6 linked regions of the Canis lupus familiaris genome follow. The protein of the gene in region 3 purifies or fractionates together with the protein of the main gene of each other region. This does not show direct contact. Links are inferred from orthologs where the notes say so. Each region holds a gene or a part of one and is shown on either strand. Other genes may lie near its edges.

Region 1 (4,268 bases), on a different chromosome or scaffold from region 3:
TAATTACAGTATGATTGAGCCTCTGGTGGAACCACACACTTCAATAACCTCACTTACCAGCAATGCAGTTTTCAGTATGAGGTAGCAGCTTAACTCTAACCAAACATCAAGACTCTTAGAAGGTGAAAGGAAAGGCTGCTAACCACGTAAATGGTCTTGACGTTGTTCTTCCTGGTTGTAAGGGATTAAGGCACCAACACGTCAGCTGAGAAAAATAAGTGGCCAGCCTCTGCTTTCAGACTCCTAGAAATTGCTAACAGCTCCTCTCATGCTCTAGTTGAAAGACTGTGAAAGCTGCCTTTATCTCAGCTCAATTCCTTGTATCAAAAAGGAGTATAAACACTAATTCCTTTCAAGGACTTCAGAAGCAGTGCCCTCCAAACCATTTTATGGGGTCCCTGTTAACTCATCAATAAGCCAAACAGCTGAAGATGAACAGCTCTTACTTCACAGCTGATACACAACAGGTCACTGGAATTTCTGACCACCAGGCGCAAACGCGCTGGCTTCCCTGGGTCCCAACTCCAGACCTACTCAGTCAGATTATCTGGGGGGTAGGGTCAGAGAATCTGTATTTAAATGGACGTCAGAAGATCGTATTTTCTACTAGGCTAAGAACCACTGCTCTTAGTAGGTCTCCACCTTCACACCTGTGTGCACAGACATTCACGTGGGCAACTTTCAAACAAGATCATTCCACCCATGGTCTTAGTTTCCTAAGCTGTTTATTTTGTTGGTTTTTTTTTTTGGGGGGGGGGGAGGGTTGGTTTTGGGTTTTGTTTTTTGGGGTTTTATTTTTGTTTTTTCCAAAACGAGCACGCTGGTTTGTTATCTATTAGAAGAAATTGCACTGAGCACAGCAAACGGTACATGGTACATAAGAAATGCGTTTCCCATCCTACACTTGCGTTCTGGGATTCAACCATTTCCATCCAGGGACTCCCACATTTCCTGAGGAGCCCGGCCCGCACCTGGAGCCTGGGGGGTGGCCCCACTTAGCAGAAACGGTGGAAGAGAGCCAGGAAGAGGCCCGAAGTCCCGAGACCGCTGGAAGGGGTCGGGATGCTGCCCCACATCCCGCTTGGGATGCCCTACCGCAGGCTCCCTCGGCTGCCCCCTGGCTGGGCCCCAGCAAGCCCCTGACCCCAGTGACTCAGAAGACTGGGCGAGGGCGCAGACTGAGGGCGGGCCTGGCCCTATACCTCACACCAGTCGTAGCCCCCCGTGTCCTCAGGGAAGAAGCTGGAGCCCGGGTCTCTCCGCCAGACCAGGGCCCAGGCCGCACTCACCTACCAGCGTGCGGGAGGCGAGACCCCCTCACCTCGGCGGCGCCCACCCCAAACCGCCACCGCTAAGGCCACTCGTTCTTTGGGGGGGGGGGGGGGAGAAAAAGAAAGAAGGAAAAAAGAAAAGAAAGAAAACAGCCTTTGCTTTTGTATTCCTTTTGACCCTTCAGGGCTTCCTCTTCCTCACCGCCACAACAAAGTTCCGCCCCGCTTCCGGCGGCGTAACCCAATCCGCACCTCTCTTTCTTCCCAGGGGACAGATGGAAATCCGGTGTCCCGAAGGCTAGGCGGAGAGACTTGATTGGGCCATTCCCACTTCAGCAAGAGGATTGGCCAGTTCGCGCTTGGGGGGCGGGCCGGAGCGTGTGATCACGTGGCACCGTTCCTGAGAGACGATTGGCTTCCAGGGAGAGGGCTTGCCACCGAGGAAGGGGCGTTTCCTAGGGGACCGAGGGAGGGCAGGGGCGGTGCGAAGCGGGGGTGGGCCCAGCGCGTAATGGCAGCGCCGTGGCCTCGCGTCCATCTTTACCGCTCTCTCGGACCTGTCACAAAGGAGTCGCGCCGCTGCCGCCGCCGCCCCCTCCCTCGGGTGGGCCCGGGAGCTGGAGAAGTCAGTGCCACAGCCCGGCCGCGCTGCTCTGGGAAACCAGTGGGGACGCGGAGCGGGGGGCAGTCCGAGGGCTGGGGACGTCGGTGAGGGAGGGGAACAGCCGCCCGAGTCTGCGCTGGGGAGACCCGACGGGGGCCAGGGCAGGTTCTGTGAGGGCCCGGGAGGGAGTGGCGTTGGGCAGAGCCCAGGAAACAGCCCGAGGTCCTCCACTGAGGCCGCGCCGAGGGCGTCTGAGGAGGCACCTGGAAGAGGGTGTTCCCCCTCCAGGGGGCTCGTGGCCGGAGGCGGAGGCTGTTGAGGGTCGCCCTTCCGAGGAGGCCGCGGCTAAAGGGGCCCAGGTGAGAGGCAGGTAGCTCTGGGGAGGCTCCGGATACTAGGGGTGCTCCTCAGGAGCGTCCTGGACGGAAGGGGTAGCCGGAGGAGGCTTGGGGAGGGGTTTCTTTTGTGGAGTTTAAGGTTGGGGCGGCACGGACGGGAGTCGGACCTTGCCCGGGAGACGCAGAAATGCCTTGGGGTGGAGGGGCCCCGCGGGGAGAGGGACCGGGAGCGGGGCCAGAGCGAGCGGATTCTCTTACTCGGGAGGCCCGATGTGAAGAAGGGGAAGGGCCCTGGGACGAGGCGGTGGCTGAGCGGTTCCGGAAAGCCGGGCGGGGAATGGGGAGGGGGCAGCGGCAAGGGCAGGGCGGTGGGGACGCGGGTCCGTCCCGTCGCAGCGGCACCCTCGGGTGCCTCTAGACAGGCTTCGGTTCCTACCTGGCGCCTCGGCGTCCCTGTCTCGGAGGAGGCAGAGCGAGGCTCTCGGAGAGGGTTCGCCGAGCCGGTGCAGTTGCAGTCTGCGGAGCCGTCCGAATGGGGCTGCTCCCCCTGGAGTGCTGTACTTTGAACTTTCCGAGGTTGGAAGTGTCTTGTGCGTGTTAGTGACTCGGTCGAGCCCCACAGTGGCCCAGGCCCCTCGCCTGCCGCGGGCGGGATCTTAGGAGAGCAGATTGGTCTCTTGCGCCCCTTCTGTAAAACGGCACGGTGTGTGGAGAGACCTGACGAGCTACAAGCCGTGTGAAAGCGGAGGACTGCGACTCTGCCACCACAGGGGGTGAGGAATGGACGTGAAGGCACTTCCTGAACTGTAAAGCAGTATGTAGGTGTAGGGGATTAGCATTAATACAGTTGCTGATCACCTATGGTGCTGGGAGCCATGTTGTACTGGGAACCTCCAGGTTCGGGCCTTTCTAGGTCACACCAGGATCTAAACCCCTGCTTCAGATGGGAGGGCAGGGGTTTCCGGTTTTTTGCTCCCAGACTTTTAATTGACTTTGAACTTCTGATGGTGCTGGCAGGAGGTAGCCCTATAATATGATCTTTTCCTCCAGAAAGTTTTTCTCTGACGGCTGAAATTTGATCTCAGAATTATGAACCACCACCGCCCCCCCCTCCCTTTTCCCTTGTGTGTGTGTGTGTGTGTGTGTGTGTGTGTGTGTATTCGTGACCTTTGGGTATCTACATGTAGTGAATATCGTCCTTCTCCTCAGTTGTGATTTTGTAGATGAGACCTTTTTATTTTTTTTCCCGTGACTATTATGCCTTTCTGTGTTCTATGGTGACTTCAAACGACGGATTATGAGGCACATTACCAATTGATCTTAAATTTCTCTTCCACAGTGGTTCTCTTTAATTTCTCACCATATATATAATTTGCATTTCCTGGAATGACATCTTGCTTTGTAGCTCCCCCTATGAGGTTATGATACTTGTGTCCATGTATGACATGTTCCTAACGTTTGGTTACTGGCATTTGCTAGAGCTGATTGTCCAAATGTTGGGTGATTTGTGATTTTTCAAGTTTGGTTTTTCGGTGATTGTTTTTGTTCTTTGGGTTTCTTTCTTTACAAAAAGCTGGCTTGCATTTCCTGTTTTTCTAATTTTGTATTCCATGGGTCGTAAAGAAAAAAAAAAAACAAACTGGTGATTTTATGAACTCCTGATTTCCCAGGATACATGCTGTCCTGACCTACTGCTTAATGCCTCTGTCCTGCTTTTGCTGTTTTCACAAACCCTTCATTATTTCTGTACTCCATGATTATTTTTAAGTTATTAATTAGGAAGTGTTCCAGCATACTCTGTGTGGACTTTTTCTGATTTGTCAACAAAATGACTTTTCCCTTAGTGAATTGGCCAAGAATCAAGAGGAAATAAAAAGCATAGCATTGTGTGTAAAAGTTTATTATTCTATAGTGAATAGGGAAACACAACAACTCTACAGTATGTTTTGGCAAGAGAATAACAAATTGTTGTGTGTTCCTAAAATGCATTTACAACAGTCTGTTTCTACTCGTGAGTTTAAGTCCGTCTGTCAATTATTACAAAAATTATGGGAA
Region 2 (4,167 bases), on a different chromosome or scaffold from region 3:
ACATTTTGACCTGAAGGGTGAGAGGACCAATATATATACATATATATGGATATATATAGACATATATATATATATAGAAACACACACACACACACACACACACACACATATATGAAGACCCTCGCTTTTTCTGCTGAAGCCATGAAATATACAATCCTTGCTGCTGGGATCAGATGCCAGGAACATGGTAGCCAAGATACTTAATGTGCCAACTCCTCTATCACCTCCATGCCTCCTGCCCCACAACCAATATTTTTCATAATTCAAGCCAGGCTTTTTGGGGTCAGCCCTTAAGTCACTAGCCCCTGCCTCACCGTGTTGCATTTCTCAATCAGCAGCCGGATCTCAGGTTTCACTTTCTCAATAATGTCCACTAGCTGCTGGTTGCTTTTTAGCATCCCATTGGGCATCACGAACACCTTGGTTCCTGGCAGGGACATGAAGAAGGTCAAATGATTGAGGGATTGGGGGACAGGACATAATACCCCCACCTTCCTTGTTTCCCAGACCCATGAGATGCTATGATCTCTGCTTTTTATCTAAAATGAGTGTCTAAAGTGCCGAAGTCAAGGGATCCTTGGGTGGCTCAGCGGTTTAGCGCCTGCCTTTGGCCCAGGGTATGATCCTAGGGTCCCGGGATTGAGTCCTGCATCGGGCTCCCTGCACGGAGCCTGCTTCTCCCTCTGTCTATGTCTCTGCCTCTCTGCCTCTCTCTCTCTCATGAATAAATAAAATCCTTAAAAAAAAAAAAAGTGCCAAAATCTGAATAAGGAAAGAATAGGAAATTAAAATATGCTCTAAAGATTTAATGCACCAACTATTACTGAAAAAGAGAAAATAACTAGAACTTCTGTGGAAAATCTAAGATGTGTAGCCACCTCAAACCTCTCCCCCTTGACAGTCCACACTAAGTCAACCGCTCCCTATTTATTGGGAAATTAGGTTTGGGGTGCTAAATAATAACCATGTTTGTAGAACTTTGGAATGTTAACGCTGGAAAATAAAATTCGGTCTTGTTTTCTGATCAGAGACTGCCAGATCAATCCTCCTGCTCAGGGTTGCAAGCCAGGGAGTAGGTGGGCGGGGGAGACTGGCTCTTACCTTGGAAGGCCTCTTCACATTCATCCAACCTTCGCTTCTTGTAAGTGGGCTAAGGATACAGAGATAGGAATTAGTCTGCTCTTGACACCCATATTCCCATCACAAGTTACCCTTCAAGCAAGTCTAATCTCTTTGGCCCCATAGGCTGTTTTCATTTATGCACAATTTACTAAGCACATATAAGACTTTAAAAAAGATTCTTGCCACAAAGCAAGTTACAATCTAGTTGGGAAGACCAGCCTTCAAATGACACATTAAGCAACTGGGGGAGAGGGGTGGATACTATAAGCAACAGGAAAAATGAACCATTCAAAGCACAGTGAGTATACTAAAGGGAATATGTACAAATCTTCAACTTCCACAAAGAAGTACAATATTCAATCAACAAACATGTACTTAGCACCTACTATGTACCAAGTACAGTGCTAGGTGCTAGGGATACAAAGATGATTAATAGTTTCTGTTTTCCAGAATTGCAAGCTCTATCAAGGACACAGTAATTCAGACAATACAGTGTTAACACTGTTATTATGAAATGTGGACATGTAACTGGCAAGCACGGGGTTCTAAATATATGTCACATAGACAGAGACTACAGTTATATAGCAAGCACTACTCATCCTCTAACAATACTCAAGACATTGAAAAAGGTAAGAAATATCTTGTTTAGAGCCACAGGGACAGACCAGATAACTTGAGGAAACCTGTAGCTACTAGTCCTATTAGGAACTCACTGTAGGACAAAGTAACATTACATTACACACTTCATGCTATAAATGAAAACCAGGGTCTCAAAGTGGTATACTGGAATCATCAGGTCTATAAGAGCCCTTGTTCCTAGATCCTAATCCACTGTCTCCTCCGTATGTGTTTAAATTGACTAGGAAGTAAAGAACAGAGACTAGAGAACTATTGCTTCAGAATACAAAGAAAAATACAGGACACTCACACCGTCCAGTCCATCGTGGCTATTGGTGAGAAGAATAGGATCAGGGACTGGGAGATTCATGTCTGAGTGGATCTGAGTTAGGTCATGGATGTTTAGGATTGGTTCCTGAAAGAGAGACGCCCACCCCCAAAACAACATCAGTCTTTTCAAAATGAACAAAGAAGTATTTTATTTGAAGGGCAAGAAATGAGAGCATTTTACTGTACAAAACAAAATAGAATCAACACATGATTTCTCCCATTTGACAGAAAGACCAGAGCCAAAAAAACGGGAATTTGAAGAAAAGAGTCTCTCACCTTCAAAAAGCTATCAAGTTCTAACAACTTCTTTGGGAAGAAATTTGCCACCAAGTCTTCTGCCTAAAAATGAAGGAAAATACAGCTCAATTAATAATTGTGGGAAGGTCTCTCTCTACAGATCTCTTCTTTGGGAAATTCCCAACTATCAACCAACGCTTATTTATTTTATTTTATTTTATTTTTTTTATTGCACTCACCTCACTTGTGATCCGCTCCCTGAAAGAATCAACCTAAAATTAACAAAGAGAGCAATTCAGTAACAGCAAGTCAGTACCTGGCAACAGAGGTTAAGGGCAGGACGGGAAAACCCAAATCCAGCCGTACTCCCCTCACCTTGTAATTGTAATGAGAAGCTGAGAGACCCCCAGACTGTAAATACTTTATTTTTTTGAGGATCCATTTCTCCATCTCAGGAGAGGGAAGTGGGGTTTGAGGGTAGCACCCGCCTGCTTTCCCTCCCACCCTCCCTCCTTGTGTCTGAAGCTGTCTGGATTTGAGAGCAAACGAAAGTCAGGTAGACAGGGGGCATGTGAGCTCACAAACGTGCCAAGCCCCCATCCAGACCTAGCCTTTGATACCAGGGAGGCCTGACGCCAAGGGTAGGGGTAGAACAGCGGTAGCATCCGGAGGCGGGGACGTTGCTGGACTGGGGACTTCCAGCTGTCACTGGCCTAAAGTGTTGAGTCCACCACGTGTCCGCGGAGGTCTCCTCGGGGATCTCCACCACCAGATGCGGTTCACAAGGCCACCCCATATTATCCTCTCCCCTGATGCCGTCTCCGGGAGTGGGGGGCTGGGCTGAGCTGAGCGGAAGCTCAGAGCTGGTGTCCCCAGGGAGACAAAGACGCCATGGGGAGTGGGGAGCCGGTCAGACTGCTCGGGAATCGAAGCGGGGGGTAAGGAGGCCCAGACCGGTGCCGCTACCTTGAGCTTCACTTCCTGATCCACCTTCAGCAACGAGGCCATGGCCGGGCCGGGCCGTGTCCGCTCCACTGGAGACCAGAGGCGCTGTGGGCTCCGGGGAGGGGGTCAGAGGGACGGGAAGAATCTCGGCTGTTCTAGGGACGCGACCGCCCTCGCTGGCTCACTCACTGCTCGCTCGCTCCCTCCCTCCGAGCCGTCCGCCCGCCCGCCTGCTGCCTGCTGCCTGCTCACTCTCTCGCTCGCCCTCCCGGCTTTCGCCGCTCACGCCGGAAGTTACATCACAGCCAATCGCCGGGACTCCGGAGAGGCGCACGTGCCCTGCGCAGCCGCGCTGGGGTCCAGCCCTGGACGTCCGAGACCGGACTCCTAGCAGCCGGCATCCAATGCCGGGTAAGGGCGAAGTAGGAGGGAGAGCAGCCGAGGGTGGTTTGCTTAAAACTGAGCATTAGAGAGACTCCAGGACTGTTGGACATTCTGTTAGCTCGGCGCTCGCCCTCATCACAGGGACCTTCTGAACCGCTGCCGCCTCGAGGACAGGACGGACAGCGCCGTCGCGCCCCAGTGACGTCGGCCCGAGGAAGCCGGCGGCCCCGGCGCTGGGCTCGGGGGTTCTACTCTGTGATTCTTGCTGCCTCCTCCCGTCGGCCGAAGCTCTAGTGTTAGGCTAGAGTCAAACAGAAGTCAAGCTCTGTTGTCCCAGGCTTCTCCACCTTCCTCCGTCACTTAGCCTCATACAGTTCGAGACCTCAGAGATCAGCTGCCTGATGGGCAGATTGACAACCGGAGCGCGGCATTGCTTGTCCAAGCCCACACAGTTTCCAGACCCAGATCTCCCGACTTTCAGGACAATGCCGTTATCTATTTTCCTAATAGGAGGCAGAGACCGTACCTCTT
Region 3 (3,500 bases):
ATTGGGAAAAAGTCACTAAGTATCAAGATGACAGAGACAGAACACTCCAGCAACCACCCCAGGGCCAGCCCTGGAGCTGCTCCTCATCCCTCAGCCCGGGGGAGACATCCACCTCTTTCCTCCAGCCCCCGCCCCACCAGTGGTGGCACCTGCCACTTCGTGCTCCTGTCTCCTCCCCGACATCACGTGCCAGGTCCCCTCGGCCAGCTCGGGTGTGCGTCCTGTGCCCTCTGCCTGAGCCGACCCCGTGCAGCCTAGCTCTGAGGCCCGCCCTCCACCTGTGCAGGAGCCCGGCCCGTGCCGACCACCACGTCCTGCAGCGTGGTGTGCGTGGGGCCTACGAGTCGGGCCGCGGCCTTTCCATCCTCCACAGGCATGAGCGGGGCCTAGTGGCTGGGCTGGTTCTGGAGCTGCGCCCCCTTCTGCCTGAGAGCCCAGGGCATGGGAGGGCTCAGGAGCCCCCTACCCCAGAGTCCTACCCGAAGGCCTTTCAGCCCTCGGGGCCCCGCAGGTCGGCTGGCGGGCGCACGTGGCTGGCGCGTGGAGCGTGGACGCTTACATCTGAGGGCGTGGCAGAGCTGGTAGGCCATGTGGCGGACGTGCGGCAGGGGGTAAGGCTGGAAGTTGTTCTCCTTCAGGAACTCGAAGGTGTTCTTGCCCAGGAGCTCGAAGGCGATGCACATGTGACCGTGGAAGTTGAACCAGTCCGACATCAAGACACACAGGCTGGAGGAGAATGGTGCGCGGGGCTCAGCCTCGGTGGCGCTGGCTCCCCGGCCCTCGCTCAAGCTGGTCGCTGCCCCTGGGGCAGCTATGGGCGGGGGGGTCTGACTCGAGCTGTCCTGCCCCAGCCACCATCCCCGCACCTCAGGAAGAGATGGAATGGCGCATCCCTTCTCCAGCCCCCCTGAGCTTCCCGAGTCTGCAGGAAAGGGACTACCCAGCGTGCGTGTGCCAGAGCGGCTCTTGGCTCTCCTTTGGAGCTCTCTGACCATGTGGGGGCCCAACAGTTTGGGGGCGCATCTTGCCTGACCCCTGCCGTGACCCACGGGCCCCTATTTATGGAAGCGGGCCTGGGAGGCCTGCCTCAGTGCACAGGATGGATGGGGGGACCTGGATGGCAACCCCAAGCTCCACCAGCAGGACTCGCTGGCCCAGCTGCCCCGGCTCCATGGGTAGGGAGAGGACACAGCTGGGGGGGTCCAGGCCACGGGGCTGAGGACGCCATCCCCACTGGAAGCTTCCCCCTTGTTCCCTCCTGACACTCACAATTTGTTCTCTTTGTCCTTCTCCTTGATTTTTTTGAGAACGTTGATTTCTAGCCGGGCGGCCTCCCGGTACTTGCCCACGTTGCGGATGATCTTCAGGGCAACCTGAGACTTCCCTCTGGGAGCCGGGAAGGAAGCAGGGGTTCTCACGAGAAGGTCCCTAGCCCCTCCCCCCACCCTCCACCCCAATCCGGCAACTGCTGGCAAACAGCTTTCACAGCTTTCGGGACGGGACTCCAGGAACAGGACCCGCTCAGAAGAGCGCAGACACCCGACACCCGGCCTGCCCGCAGGCAACGCCACACCTCGCTCTCCCAGCAGCAAGGTCCCCTGGCGTCTGTTAGTCCCTGCCAGCCTGGGCTTATCCGATGGCAGCCACCTCGGGCTCCCAGAGGAGAGCGAGAGTGGAGTAGAGGCCTAGCCCGCTCGGTGACCCAGCCTGTATGTAGGCCAGTCACCCTGACCTGGCCAGGCCACCCCAGCCACAACCTCCTTGCGGCACCCCTTGACCTTCCTAAGTGCCTCTCCATGGCTGGGCAAACAGCTCCCCCTGGAGTGGGGGTTCCAGGATGGGATGAAGCCTTGGCCAGAGGGTAAGGGTGCCAGCAGCAGGGTCCTCTCACCGCAAGTCCCCGGGGCCCTTTGCTACACTCCAGCCCCCACCCCAGCCTGCCTACCAACCAGCCACAGCATTTACCCGAGACCACAGAGCGCCAGGAGGCCTCTTCAGTGTCTAGTGAGGACTTTTAAGAATTCCTGCTCCGGGCGTCCCAGCCCCAGCCCCGCCCGGCAGGCCACCGCAGAATGCCAGCAGAGCAGGGGACGACAGCTATCCGTAAGGGACACCCCGGTTTCAGAAGCCCATGGGGAACTAGAGTGAGACAGCTCTGGCTCATAAGGACGTGGCCCCCTGAGGCCTCTGGAAGGCTGGCCCTGGTGCCTAAGAGAAGGCTCACAGGTCCCAGGGCAGAGGCATCTTCTGGAGAACACACTGGTTTTCTCTCCCTATCCCATTTCCCCAGATCCTGAGGGTAGGCAAAGGCCACTTGCTGCAGGCTCCTAGAGCAGGATCCCTCAATGGCAGTCTGATGCTCAACACCGGGAGCGCATCACGTCCCCAGGCAGCCACTGCCAGGGTTCCATGGCTCGGAGGATCCCCCCTTTCCTCTCCGGAAGAATTTACCTCCTCCTCACAACCCCACAGCCAATTCCCTTTGGACCCCCCAGGAACTCCGGGAGCCTTGTGCCTGCCCCTTAGTGACTTCAGACTCTTACCTCCCCTCTATCTACTCAGGGTGGCACAGCCCAGAGAGCTTAGCTGCCCCCATGTGCCCAGCTCGCAGATCTGGCACGTATCTGGTCACAGTATGGCCTACGTGTCCCTATGCCCTCTGGCTCCAGTCCTAACCTGGGCCCACTGGGTCTGAGGGGTTTGTAAACTGGAACTGGGAGCCCAGGAGATTTCCTGTTAGTCGCTGTCACCACCTTATGTGGAGGCCACAGGGTGGCCGTCCTTTCTGAGCCCCGTCTGGGGGTACTCAGCACCACCACTCGACAATCGGGGGATATAGGTAAACCCTGAGCCTCTCTCTTCACCTCTACTACAGCGGAAAGGTCACAACAGGCAGCGTGCAGCTCCAATGAGACAGCACGGTCACACGCGCTTGGGAGCCAGAGCACCAAACCAATGACATTGCCATTAAGGGAGGGAGACGGGGCGCCCAGGAGGCGGTCTCCCAGACTAAGGTGGAGGGGCATGAAATCTGGAAGGCAGCAAGGTTCCCCAGAGGTCCCCAAACACACACAGGTATCACCCCGTTCCACCCAAACACATTCAGAGGACCCACGGTCAACGCTGGCCACCCCGAGGCGGCAGTGGCCGCAAGGTGAGAGCCCAAGTCTTGTTTCTCCCAATAGGGACGGGCCCAGCCTCTCAGGCAGGCCCCAGAGGGCGGGCTCGCGCTTGCTCTCAGCCCAGCAGTGTCCTCAGGCCCCGCAGGGACGGCAGGAAGCCGACCCCGACCACAGAAGAGCCAGGGCCCCAGCCCCGTGCAGATGTCACGGCCACCACAGCAGCGCCCCTGGGCGGGGATGCCGCGTGCCTGTGGAGCCCCGGAACTTCTCCCCATTCCAGGGGAGCAGCAGAAGCCCGACACGCGCGGTCCAGCACCCTGCTATGGCGCCGCCCTTCGGAAAGCACACGGGGGCTCGGACTGCCGCCACCCTCAGGAA
Region 4 (3,500 bases), on a different chromosome or scaffold from region 3:
ACTTCCCACATATCTTTCTAAGGAAGGTGTCTAAAAACGTTCAAAACACAATCCAATCCAAAAGCATAGTAAAGAGAAGTTCCAGAACAACAGCTGAGGAGAAGATCTAAAGAGTAATTGGTACAAATTAGAGCAGATCAGAAGGTTCCTCTAGGGCTTCTTTTTAGAAGAGTACAGTTGAGAGGATGGGTAAATTTAGTGAAAGCATATTAGTCTTTTGTGAATAATAAAAAACAAGGACATTTAGAATCTCCAGGGTGGGGAAGGAGCAATAGAGTGAGGGTTGGGAGAACACACAAGATAGATGCAAATTATTCATTAGGTTATTCTTAGGTTGAGAGGTAAATTCAAAAATATTTATTGTTATTATATGATTTAAAAGTTAAACACTCAAATTTATTCTTTTGTGTATATATATTTTGTGTGTGTGTGTATATATATATATACATATCTCCAGCATTATATTTGTAAAAGCTTAAAAAAAAGAACTGTGGGAGAAAAGTTTATTACAGTTTATTACACCATTATAATAAAGTTGTGGTCTGCACATAAACCAAACTAATGGCATGATTCTGAACCACTGAATGAATGTAAGAATGAGAATATATTTGACACTGACTCTAAAATTATCCTTCTTTTAAATAGCAAAGGGGTCTTGACACACTGGATCAGTGAAGAATATAATCCTGGCACACTACTTAGCTTGCTCCTTACCCCAGTCTTAATTCCCAGAAGTAACCAAGGTCTTGTGTTTGATGTGTATTCTAAACTGCCCTCCCTTCATATGTAATCAATTATACTCATAAATTTTTTTAAAAGATTTGAGAGAGTGTGCATGAGTAAGAGGGGCAGAGGGAGAGAGAGAGAGAATCTCAAGTAGATACCCCACTGAGCAGGGAGCCCAACAAAGGGCTCCAATCTCATGACCTTGAGATCATGACCTGAGCTAAATCCAAGAGTTGGCCACTCAACTGACCTCACCACCCAGGTGTCCCTCATATTCATAAACTTTTAAACAAAAGTAGGATTTTAATTTATTTATACTGACTACTCTTTATACAATTTAGTAAGATGAGAATCAAAATTACCATTACTGAGGTAGGGCATCAATAGAAATGGAGACAAAGACAGTGACTAGCAAAATAATTATTAGCAGCATCCTAACTTTCCTGCGTCTTAGCTCCTGCTCCTGAAAAAACACAGCATAAATACACTAACAATAGAATACCAAAAATGTCTTTTTGAAGAATGTGCTTTCCTTTCCTTTAATTCACAGTGGTATCAATCTATTATCATGCTATCATCTTCTTTTTTTAAGATTTTATTTATTTATTTGACTGACTGAGAGAGAGAAAGAGCAGGGAACAGCACAGGAAGAGGGAGAGGAAGTGGCAGATTCCCCACTTAGCAGGGAGCCCGACATAGGACTCATTCTCAGGACTCCAGGATAATGATTCAAGCTGAAGGCAAATGCTTTACTGACTGAACCACCGAGGTGCCCCTACCACCTTCTAAATAATAGTGCACTAGCACACAACCAGTACACACAGAGCTTCCAAACTAATATGATTTTATGGAAGGACATCATCCAGGAAAAGGGGACAAAACAAGAAAAAAAGAGACCAATGGTTTTTTGTTACTTGGAGTTTAATATGTAAACCACTGATCTACATGTAAAACTGCTTTCCTATTAAACCTAACTACATTCTGTTCTGAGTATTAATACTAATACCTTCAATACTTTTTTTTTTTTTTAAGATTTTATTTATTTATTCATGAGAGACACACAGAGAGAGAGGCAGAGACACAGGCAGAAGGAGAAGCAGGCTCCATTCAGGGAGTGTGAAGTGGGACTTGATCCCGGGTCTCCAAGATCACACCCTGGGCTGAAGGCAGCGCTAAACCACTGAGCCACCTGGGCTGCCCCCTTCAATACCTTTGGTACTTGGTAACAAGCAAGAGAGAGACACTGCTTTCTTATTATACATCCTCTAATCACTGTACAGAAATCTGAAAACACTGCTATGTTCCAGAAGGTTAGTTACTACTGTGACTATGTGGTAAAAATACTTTCATAAACAAACCCATTACTTACCAAAACCTCAAAAAGGAGTGCTAGTAACTTATTGTTAGCCATGAAGTTACTGTCCAAAACTCCTAAGTTAAACCAACTTCCCAAACAGCGAAAGACCTTCATAAGCATTTTCTCATCTGTTCCTGCTTTTTCTACACAGGTCATCTGAAAAGAAGGAAAAAAAAGTTAAATAATGGCAAACTTTATCTTTAAACCATTATTAAAATCATCTTGCAGGTATAATATTGAGAAGGATAATAATATTAAGAGCCAACAGTTCAAAGCGCTTTGAAAGTGTCAGATGCTGCTCTCAATGCCCTTAATTTATTAATCTCAACTAACACTACAGCCAGGTACTATTTCTACTTTCTCAACTGGGAAGCTGAGATACACCGAGATTAAAACTTGTCCAAAGATAGTTCTGTTTCAGAAATAATAGTTTCTTAGATCCCTCTTCTGCATTAACATAATCTTATCAAAAAATTATCTTAAAATAATACTCATCTACACAGTTGATTTTATAAAAGTAAGCTAGTCCTACTATGAAAAGCTGATGTTTCAGCTACACTTGATTACTCCAGTAAATACACCATTCCACAGAAAAAGACACTACTGTAAATATGGTGGGTTGATAAAAGAGATAAAAGGGAAAGTCAGACTAAAACCACTGTTTCTAAGGATGCCTGGGTGGCTCAGCATCTGCCTTCATTCAGCTCATGGTGTGATCCCAGGATCAAATCCCACATTGGGCTCCCTGTGAGGAGCCTGCTTCTCCCTCTGCATGTCTCTGCCTCTCTCTGTGTCTCTCATGAATAAATAAAAAACCAGTTTCTCTTTGCAAACTGTTTTTGTGATGTATATTTTTTCCAAAGTAAAGTGTAGTGCAACTTTGTTTGGATTTTTTAAAAAATGTAACTTTTATAAGCAATGATCAGAAATAACATAACTGCCATGGGGTTTAGGTTGCATATGGTGGGATACAGAATCCCATAGTGATTTAAACGTTGACTCTTGTACTTTTCGGTAGCCAGGTTCCTCCTATTATTGCTGTATCAGACAATTATAATTACATTCTTCTCAATTAGTAATTGTACTGAATGGAATTGAAACGAAAAAAGAAAAGATGCTTCAAGCAAGTTCATGGCAACCACACACACATCTGAATCTTTGAAGGTATAATCATTACACAATTGTTTGGCCTTTATACTTCTTGAATGACATTTCAATTTACTAAGACATGATATTTACAAATGGAAGGACTTGACTGTATATTCTAACTTCTGACTCAAACTTAAGAACAGAATTTTGGAAAAATGCTACATCTAAATCTAGTTGCTTTGAAGAGAAAAAAAAAAATCACTCATTGAATCAAATACACACCATAAAGCTTCAGAACTTAGAAAGGGTTACCTTGGCTTCCTCTTTA
Region 5 (3,500 bases), on a different chromosome or scaffold from region 3:
TTAAAAATCACATTCGTTGATATCCACGGATCTCATCAGAAGTCTTTTAAGTTTGAGGAAGTTGTCAGGCTCCCAGTGGCAGATACAAATTTCCCAAAACTGTAATTTTTATTTGAAAACTCAATGGTAAGACATACTGTCAGTTGTCTTCCTTGAAGTGACAGGCTCACTTCATTCATTTTTTTAAAATTGTATTTATTTATTAATTAATGAGAGACACACAGAGAGAGAGGCAGAGACACAGGCAGAGGGAGAAGTAGGCTCCACGCAGGGAGCCCGATGTGGGACTCGAACCCACATCTCCAGGATCACACCCTGGGCTGAAGGCGGCACTAAACCGCTGAGCCACCGGGGCTGCCCCATTTCATTCATTATTAAGAAAGTATCTGCCAAATACTATATAATCAAGTCTAAACAACGACAGTTTGCCCTTTTAAAGAAAAATGATTATTATAAAAAAAATGCACTCAAGTTAAGTGCACAGGTACTTCGTGAGATAACCAGTACACTCGGGTATGCAAAAGTGCTCCATGTGTGCTTCCCCATCTGTCATAAAACAGCAAAACAATGTGAAACTCAAAGATCAGGATTTAATAAAATCAGTATTTTTTATGCTTTGTCGAGGACACCAAGTGAAACTGGCTTCCTTTCTGATCCTTATTTACACAGTGCATAAAGGCAGCGAAGCATATACGATTGCTAGCATAGGCTGGTGCCACCGCCTAGAATTGCACCAGGGCACCAGCAGCCTTTACCACTGCAGCTTGTGCACCTTCAGTAGACTTTACTGCCAACACTGTAAACAGATAAACAACATCTTAGTTTTATTATAAAAACAGTCTTGACATTATGGACCTCCTAAAAATCCACCAGCTCCTCTGATCCACTAGCTCCTATGTAATATAAATGGCAATAAATCCAAGCAAAACACAACTCCAAAAATACCCTCTTACCTTTGCCAAGACTAAAGACAAATGGTTCATTTCGATCATGACTGGAATCAAACTTCTTTCCATTTGACAATTTCCCTTTGTAATGGACATAAACTTTGTCTCCAATCATTGGTGTTTCCTCACTATTCCCCACTCTTTTGACAATCTAGAAAAGACAAACATCAAGAAAAAGGAGCTGATTTTATTCTGATCAGAGATGCACAATCCATTCCACTTTACCTACAGATTTACTAATAATTACCTGTCCTTCCTAAAGGCCTCCCCGCTAGTTCTCTTAATAACCCTCACTGTTAGAAAATCGTCCTATGCTACTCTCAATCTTTAATGCTATATTTAATTTTACTGCCAATCACACTATTCCCTCAAAATAACATAATAATATAACCCCAGAGGGCAGCCTGGGTGGCTCAGCAGTTTAGCGCCACCTTCAGCCCAGGGTGTGAACCTGGAGACCAGAGATCGAGTCCCACATGGGGCTCCCTGCATGGAGCCTGCTTCTCCCTCTGCCTGTGTCTCTGCCTCTCTCTCTGTCTCAGTGTTTCTCATGAATGGATAAATAAAATCTTAAAAAAAAATAATAACAAAAAATTTTTTAAATTTAATTTAATTTTTTAATTTTTTAAAAATTTTTTTAATTTTTTAACAAAAATTTTAATTTTTTAATTTTAATTTAATTTTAATTAAAAAAATTTAAAAATAATATAACCCAAGAGATCCTGACTCATGCTTTGACACTAAAATCTCTCAAAACACAGAGCTAGTTCATATACAAACTGAATTAGACCAAAAAGATTAGACTTTCAAAAACATTCAAAAAGGGGGATCCCTGGGTGGCGCAGTGGTTTGGCGCCTGCCTTTGGCTCAGGGCGCGATCCTGGAGACCCGGGATCGAATCCCACATCAGGCTCCCGGTGCATGGAGCCTGCTTCTCTCTCTGCCTGTGTCTCTGCCTATCTCTCTCTCTCTCTCTCTCAATCTGTGTGTGACTATAGTAAATAAATAAAAAATTAAAAAAAAAATTAAAAAAAAAAACATTCAAAAAGGAGTTGAAAGCAAACTTACAAAGGTGAGATTTTATTTACTTCCACCCTTTGCTAAAAACTTTACCTTTTGACTAGATTCCACTAGTTTGGTTTAATTTCAAAAAGCTCAATTTCCTGGTATAACAGGTTATACTTTTTATTATGTGAGGAATATTTACTGTGAAAAAAACAGTATCACTGTATAGTTTGATATGATACTGAATAGCTTGTTTTCTAGTAAAGCAAATGCCAAAAAAGCTCCAGGCTGAAAAATAGCTAGCTGTCATAAAATCCAGTATATTTATTTTGTTCTTGGCAGAGCAGACTACTAATGCAGTTGGTCAGTTCTGGGAAAAGAATATCAAATCCAAGCATGTGGTGGCATAATTTATTCTGTCAATCACCTATGCCAAATTAATCATTTTTATTAGATAACAGAGGATGGTAGCTAATGTCCAAGAATCGTCATTTTAGGGAAGAGTCTGAATTTTTATATAAAGAATTCAGTTATTCACTCCTAAATTCCTTAAGATGTATCCTCCCAGCCCCACCCTCATATCACCACATAAACACTGTAAGCTTATATTCTACAATTTTCTAGTTCAAAAGTCCAGATATTCTTTAAAGGAAAAGAATCATTATCACAGCTCCACCAAAAACCTGTTAGAACTAATCATTAATGAATTCAGTAAAGCAGGAGGATACAGAATCAACACACAGAAATCAGCTGTTTTTCTACACACTCATAACAGGGATATATCTGAAAAAGAAATAATGAAAACAATCGAGAAATGCAAGTCAAACCCACAAGATACTACCTCATCTGTTAGAATGGCTAAGATTAAAAAGACAAGAAATAACAAGTATTAGTGAGGTTTTGGAGAAAAGAGAATACTCGTGCACTGTTGGTGGGAATGTAAGTTAGTGAAGCCACTGTGGAAAACAGTGTGACCATTCCTCAAAAAATTAAAAACAGGACTACCATACAATCCAGCAATTCCACTTCTGGGTATTTCTCTGAGGAAAACGAAAACACTAGCTCACGAAGACATATGTACCTCCTATGTTCATTGCAACATTATGTACAATAGCTAAGCTATGGAAATAACCTAAGTGTCCACAGAGAAACGAATGGATGAAGAAAATGTAGTATGTATATTATATACACAGTGAAATGTTAATCCAGCCATAAAAAAAGAATAAAATCTTGCCATCGTGACAACATGAATGGACCTTGAGAGTATTACGCTAAGTGACAGAAAATCCTGTATGATCTCATTTATATGTGGAATCTAAAAAAGCTGACCTCACAAAAACAGAGAGTAGAAGGTTAGTTGTTAGGGGCTCTAGACTGGGAAAAATGGGAAGACATGAAGAGTTACTTTAAGTAGATGCTTTAAGGATACAATCTAGTCTTGATTCAGCTCCACAATGTAATTTTATTACTTTTATAGTAATAAAAGACATGACTACAGATGAGGCACTCTGCTAAATGCTTTATATAATCTCAATAACTATATGAGGT
Region 6 (4,183 bases), on a different chromosome or scaffold from region 3:
TTGTGAAGACTACAATACACATAAAGCCTGTAGAATGGTACCTGTTTATTATTAAAATAAAGCTAAATTATTGCCCTAATAATGATTACTCCTTATATTCCTAAGTGTTTCAGGTAGCATGCCACAATTAATATAGGTATAGGTAGCATGCCACAATAGCATGCTCACTATATTACACAAAACACCTTTAAAACTTCAGGTGTTCACAAATAAGTGAATCCACCTCTGACTCAATACTAAGTTCAAGATACCACAAACTCTCCAAAATTTGCAAGTGATGGTAAGTTGGCAAAGAGTGAAATTTTATAATTACAAATCATCTTGCCAAATTCAAGGCAAAGAAAATGAAGTCATCTAGAACTTACCAGAGAAAATGCACAGAAGAATTTCTAGTGCTGTAAGAAGATCTTTTAAAGCAACAGGATCCATGCACTGTTTGGAAATCTACTCTGGATTTGTTTTCAAGTGTATTCAATGGCTTCAACCTCATTTATCACTTAAAACCTTAAAAGGAGGCCACATTTAATTTTAATAAACCAACCTTAAAATGTTCCAGATATACTATATGCAGGAACATGATATTACATTTCCTCTCCAATAACTTTAAATTGAAGGACATCATTAATGAAAATCAACCTTTATCCTTTTACTAAAACATCCAGAAAAAAAATATGTTAAGTATTTTTAATTTTTAAATTTATTGTAGTTGACTACTTTATTTATAAATGGATGTTTAGAAATGTTAATCGATAATTTACAAAAACTTTAACATCTTATAATTGTCTAAAAAGCTTTCTTTCCAAATACCCTATTTTACCCATAATATTAAGACAGCTGAATTTTAGAAAACCATATTCCTGGCTCACCCAATACTGGCGTCGGTTATTCCAACATACAAGCAGGAAATAAATGTAAAATATACCTACTATCTTCAAAGGACTACCAACCAGATTTCATATAAGCCCAACTAAAGCATCAGAAGAGAAAATCATCTTACTTGAAAAGGCAGAGGCTTTCTCAATTTTTTTCAGGTGACAGCATTCATAATCTGCCAACCAGTTTTCAAATTTTTTCAAGGCCTTGCAAATTCTGTTTAAGTCTGCTGAAATTCTGTGGTTGACAGACATTTTCCCTCAAAACTTAATTGTCCATATTATTTATTTTCAATTCTATTAGGTCACCTTGAAATTCTCTCCTCTGAAAAACACTTGAGGATTTTAGTTAACATGTCTCTTTAAAGATTACCAATAAAGCCCACACATCTTGTAGCCTACTCACGTTTTAGGATGCTCGCTAAAAAGAAAAGAAAAAACAAAAACAATCTCTCAGGGAGCAAATGGCTATAGAGAACTACTTCAACTTCCCTGCACCTGCATTATACTCTTAAGCCGCCGTGAGATTCTGTACTGGGCTGCAGCTATACAGCAGGCGCAGATCACAAGGCTTTTTTCAACAGCCCCCAGATGCCTTACTGCTGCAAAACTTCTCTGTGAGGAGCGTTCTACGCACTGAACTGTTGTTGTTTAACTGCTTTCTTTACGTGTTTATTTACCAACCCCATCTCGGAAAAATTTAACTCCTTCAAACAGCCTTCTGAAACATATCCAGAGTATCCCGTGTGACTGAGAGGAAGATCTGCAGCGGGATAAAAACTTGAGTTGTGATGTTCATCCCCTGACCCAAATTGCTGTTGCCAGGATATGCGGTAGTAATGCAGTGGTTTGAGACTCTGAGGATGCATTTTACTCTAGAATCAGCCAGCCTCTACTAAATCCCTCTTAGTCGCCGAGATTTCTGCAGTAACCATGCTCAACAGGAAGGTATCTTAAACGGGAAGACGAGTTATTGTAATTTAGCCTTTATTTGCTCCTCGGTAATGCCTGCCATCACAAGGACACTTTTCCATACAGCGTTTGCAACTAAAGAAAGAAAAAGGGAGCTTCTGGCGCTAATTATCGCACTTCAAAGGTTAGTCCATGATCATTACACTTGTTAAAAATCTTTCGAGGTAGGATTTGGGGCTAAGCTTCCATCGACAACAGTCCTCTAACTTACTCTTTTCCAAGCAAGATGAACGGCCTCATGACAACAGCAACATTTACGCCTAGGGAAATCTCAATGTTCGACCAACCAAGAAGGCGTCTGATAACTCAAGCATCCTTTTCCCATGTGAGGAAATAGACAATGAAAGGGACTTATCGTACTGAGGATAGACGAAGGACGACCCGAAAAAGAGCCTTGCGAGCAAAACCCGGGGGGCTCGGAAGCCCTGGTCTCAGCAACACCAGCCCGAAGCCCTCCCGACCCATCCCTCTTCTCCCCCGGGAGCCCGCCCGGCGCCTCCACAGGCCCGGCGGACCCGAGCGGAGCGCAGTCCCGAGTCTGCGGCCCGGCCAGGCTTCCGAAACCCGCCCCAGCAAAGCCGAAGCCGCAAACCCGGGGGCCGGAGTTTCACAGGTAAGAGAATACGAGCTGAGAGGGGATGCGGCCTCGCCTCAAGCTGGGAGGCCCCTTGAGGAACTGGGAGGCGGGAGAAGAGCAAGCCGGTTCGTAAGCCGGAGCCGAGCTGGGAAGGAAAAGCGCTAGGAGCGGGGGAGGAGGTGGTCCCGGCTCTGCGAGCGCCTTCCCGGATTCTCGGCGACGCCCGTGTTTACCTGAAAGTCTCGATCCTCGTTGAAGCGGGAGAAGCGGTCCGCCATTTTGCCGCCTTCACTCCTCTCAGGACGACGCTCTCCGGTTCGCTCCTTCCCTCCCGCGACACCCGCCCCCTCGCTCCCCTCCCCAGTTCCCCGCCTCCTCCCACGCCCACCCAGCGCGCGCAGGCGAGGGAGGGAGGAAGCGAGAAAGCGCGTCCAAAAAGGAGCCCCGCCGGCGCAGGCGCCTTTAGGCCCTGGAGGCGGAACCTTTCCTTAAGTCCCCTCTCCGCTCGCGGCCCAGAGCGACCCCGGTGGCCGCGCGTGCGCACTCGTGCCGGGGAGCTGCAAGCGCTTCCGGAGAGAAAGGTCACGGGGCACAATACGCCGGGGTCCGGGTGTTTTCCACCTGCTGCTTTCCCCGGCTACGATCTATTTTCTCGCCCTCTTGTTTCCCTGGGTGTGCAGAAGCCCATCGTCTGCCTTATTCACTAAATACCAATGTAATGTCCGGGTTGGAAGCGCGGATTTTGGAGCGGGACTGCTTCCTTTTCGAATCCCAGTTTGCCCTGGGGATTAAATGGCAAACGAGACGGGGAAAGACCCCTTCGGTCATAGGGCTTACATTCCAGTGGGGGAAAATCAGATACATAGTAAAAATAATCGCGTAATTTTAAATGTTAACGAGGGCTACAAAAAAATAAAACAGTGCGGTGATGAGACCTCTGAGATGACCTTTGGCCTTTGAGGAACAGCAGGCGGCAAGCCCCCCACCCCCACCCCCTACCCTTGCAGCCTTGGAGCAAAGGGAACGTTAGACCCACAGGCCCCTTGACTGCTAAGAGTTGTCATTTCTAAGAGATATGAGAGTAAAGATTTTTCAGGAGACCAAAGGTGATCCAAATCAACTAAAGCTCTCTGGGTTTCAGTTTCCTTTTTATAAAATAAGGAAATCGAGTTTGGTAATCTCAACTGCCCCTGCCCAGGAATGACTGTGGATTATGATTCAGATTTTTCCATCCTATGGTTTTCCTGAGGTCCCCACCCAGCTCCCTTGGCCAAAATACATAAAACACGTGGGAGGGGTATGAGGACTTGCCTGCTTTTGAAAAGAGTAGTTGACAGAAATCATAAAATGGAAAATAGCCCTTACCCTCCCCTGAAAGAGTCCAGTGGAATGTACATTTTTGGAAGAAGGATGTGTATCTCATATTCCTTTGTTACTCTCTGCCTCACCCAACCCCTAGTCTAAGCAGAATACAATTTTAAGCAGTGAAAAGAACTAAGTAGAGGCAGAACACAGACTGAAAACATTGTAAAGAGAGTTGAGGGTAAATGGCAGGTTGAATCACATGGATACACTGGACAGGTTTACCTCTTCTCCCTCACCTAACCCTACTAAAATGACAGTTAAAGAATGAGAAAGACATGGACAAAGAGACCTGAAGAAGGTACAACAGTAGGCAAGAGGTGTCAACATTTTGGAAGCTGGAGGTAGGGGGTTCCTGGCTGGCTCACTCCATAGAGCATGCGACTCTTGATCAAGGGCT

The links.
Region 1: the proteins of CLK3 (region 3) and PSME3IP1 purify together in Homo sapiens (affinity purification with mass spectrometry; 3 studies listed by BioGRID and IntAct, counting the BioPlex papers as one, with this or other methods). This does not show direct contact. The link is inferred for Canis lupus familiaris from reciprocal best matches to the Homo sapiens genes CLK3 and PSME3IP1.
Region 2: the proteins of CLK3 (region 3) and PSME3 purify together in Homo sapiens (affinity purification with mass spectrometry; 5 studies listed by BioGRID and IntAct, counting the BioPlex papers as one, with this or other methods). This does not show direct contact. The link is inferred for Canis lupus familiaris from reciprocal best matches to the Homo sapiens genes CLK3 and PSME3.
Region 4: the proteins of CLK3 (region 3) and TNPO3 purify together in Homo sapiens (affinity purification with mass spectrometry; 4 studies listed by BioGRID and IntAct, counting the BioPlex papers as one, with this or other methods). This does not show direct contact. The link is inferred for Canis lupus familiaris from reciprocal best matches to the Homo sapiens genes CLK3 and TNPO3.
Region 5: the proteins of CLK3 (region 3) and FKBP5 purify together in Homo sapiens (affinity purification with mass spectrometry; 3 studies listed by BioGRID and IntAct, counting the BioPlex papers as one, with this or other methods). This does not show direct contact. The link is inferred for Canis lupus familiaris from reciprocal best matches to the Homo sapiens genes CLK3 and FKBP5.
Region 6: the proteins of CLK3 (region 3) and GPATCH8 purify together in Homo sapiens (affinity purification with mass spectrometry; 3 studies listed by BioGRID and IntAct, counting the BioPlex papers as one, with this or other methods). This does not show direct contact. The link is inferred for Canis lupus familiaris from reciprocal best matches to the Homo sapiens genes CLK3 and GPATCH8.

Annotation. Positions count from the first base shown.
Region 1 is NC_049223.1:58,454,849-58,459,116, reverse strand, and holds the start of PSME3IP1 (PSME3-interacting protein), read right to left. Parts: upstream 2,801-4,268; 5' UTR 2,650-2,800; intron 2,235-2,649; exon of another isoform or gene 1,997-2,234; intron 1,980-1,996; exon of another isoform or gene 1,959-1,979; intron 1,897-1,958; exon of another isoform or gene 1,474-1,896; intron 1,468-1,473; exon of another isoform or gene 1,290-1,467; intron 178-1,289; exon of another isoform or gene 58-177; intron 1-57. UniProt on the Homo sapiens protein: Promotes the association of the proteasome activator complex subunit PSME3 with the 20S proteasome and regulates its activity.
Region 2 is NC_049230.1:20,062,001-20,066,167, forward strand, and holds the start of PSME3 (proteasome activator complex subunit 3), read right to left. Parts: upstream 2,801-4,167; 5' UTR 2,758-2,800; coding exon 2,683-2,757; intron 2,580-2,682; coding exon 2,547-2,579; intron 2,410-2,546; coding exon 2,347-2,409; intron 2,156-2,346; coding exon 2,051-2,155; intron 1,151-2,050; coding exon 1,102-1,150; intron 428-1,101; coding exon 315-427; intron 11-314; coding exon 1-10. UniProt on the Homo sapiens protein: Subunit of the 11S REG-gamma (also called PA28-gamma) proteasome regulator, a doughnut-shaped homoheptamer which associates with the proteasome. 11S REG-gamma activates the trypsin-like catalytic subunit of the proteasome but inhibits the chymotrypsin-like and postglutamyl-preferring (PGPH) subunits.
Region 3 is NC_049251.1:38,152,476-38,155,975, reverse strand, and holds part of CLK3 (dual specificity protein kinase CLK3), read right to left. Parts: intron 1,387-3,500; coding exon 1,270-1,386; intron 727-1,269; coding exon 560-726; intron 1-559. UniProt on the Homo sapiens protein: Dual specificity kinase acting on both serine/threonine and tyrosine-containing substrates. Phosphorylates serine- and arginine-rich (SR) proteins of the spliceosomal complex.
Region 4 is NC_049235.1:7,535,117-7,538,616, reverse strand, and holds part of TNPO3 (transportin-3), read right to left. Parts: intron 2,240-3,500; coding exon 2,096-2,239; intron 1-2,095. UniProt on the Homo sapiens protein: Importin, which transports target proteins into the nucleus. Specifically mediates the nuclear import of splicing factor serine/arginine (SR) proteins, such as RBM4, SFRS1 and SFRS2, by recognizing phosphorylated SR domains.
Region 5 is NC_049233.1:4,958,967-4,962,466, forward strand, and holds part of FKBP5 (peptidyl-prolyl cis-trans isomerase FKBP5), read right to left. Parts: intron 1,099-3,500; coding exon 954-1,098; intron 1-953. UniProt on the Homo sapiens protein: Immunophilin protein with PPIase and co-chaperone activities. Component of unligated steroid receptors heterocomplexes through interaction with heat-shock protein 90 (HSP90).
Region 6 is NC_049230.1:18,801,860-18,806,042, reverse strand, and holds the start of GPATCH8 (G patch domain-containing protein 8), read right to left. Parts: upstream 2,801-4,183; 5' UTR 2,700-2,800; coding exon 2,655-2,699; intron 1-2,654.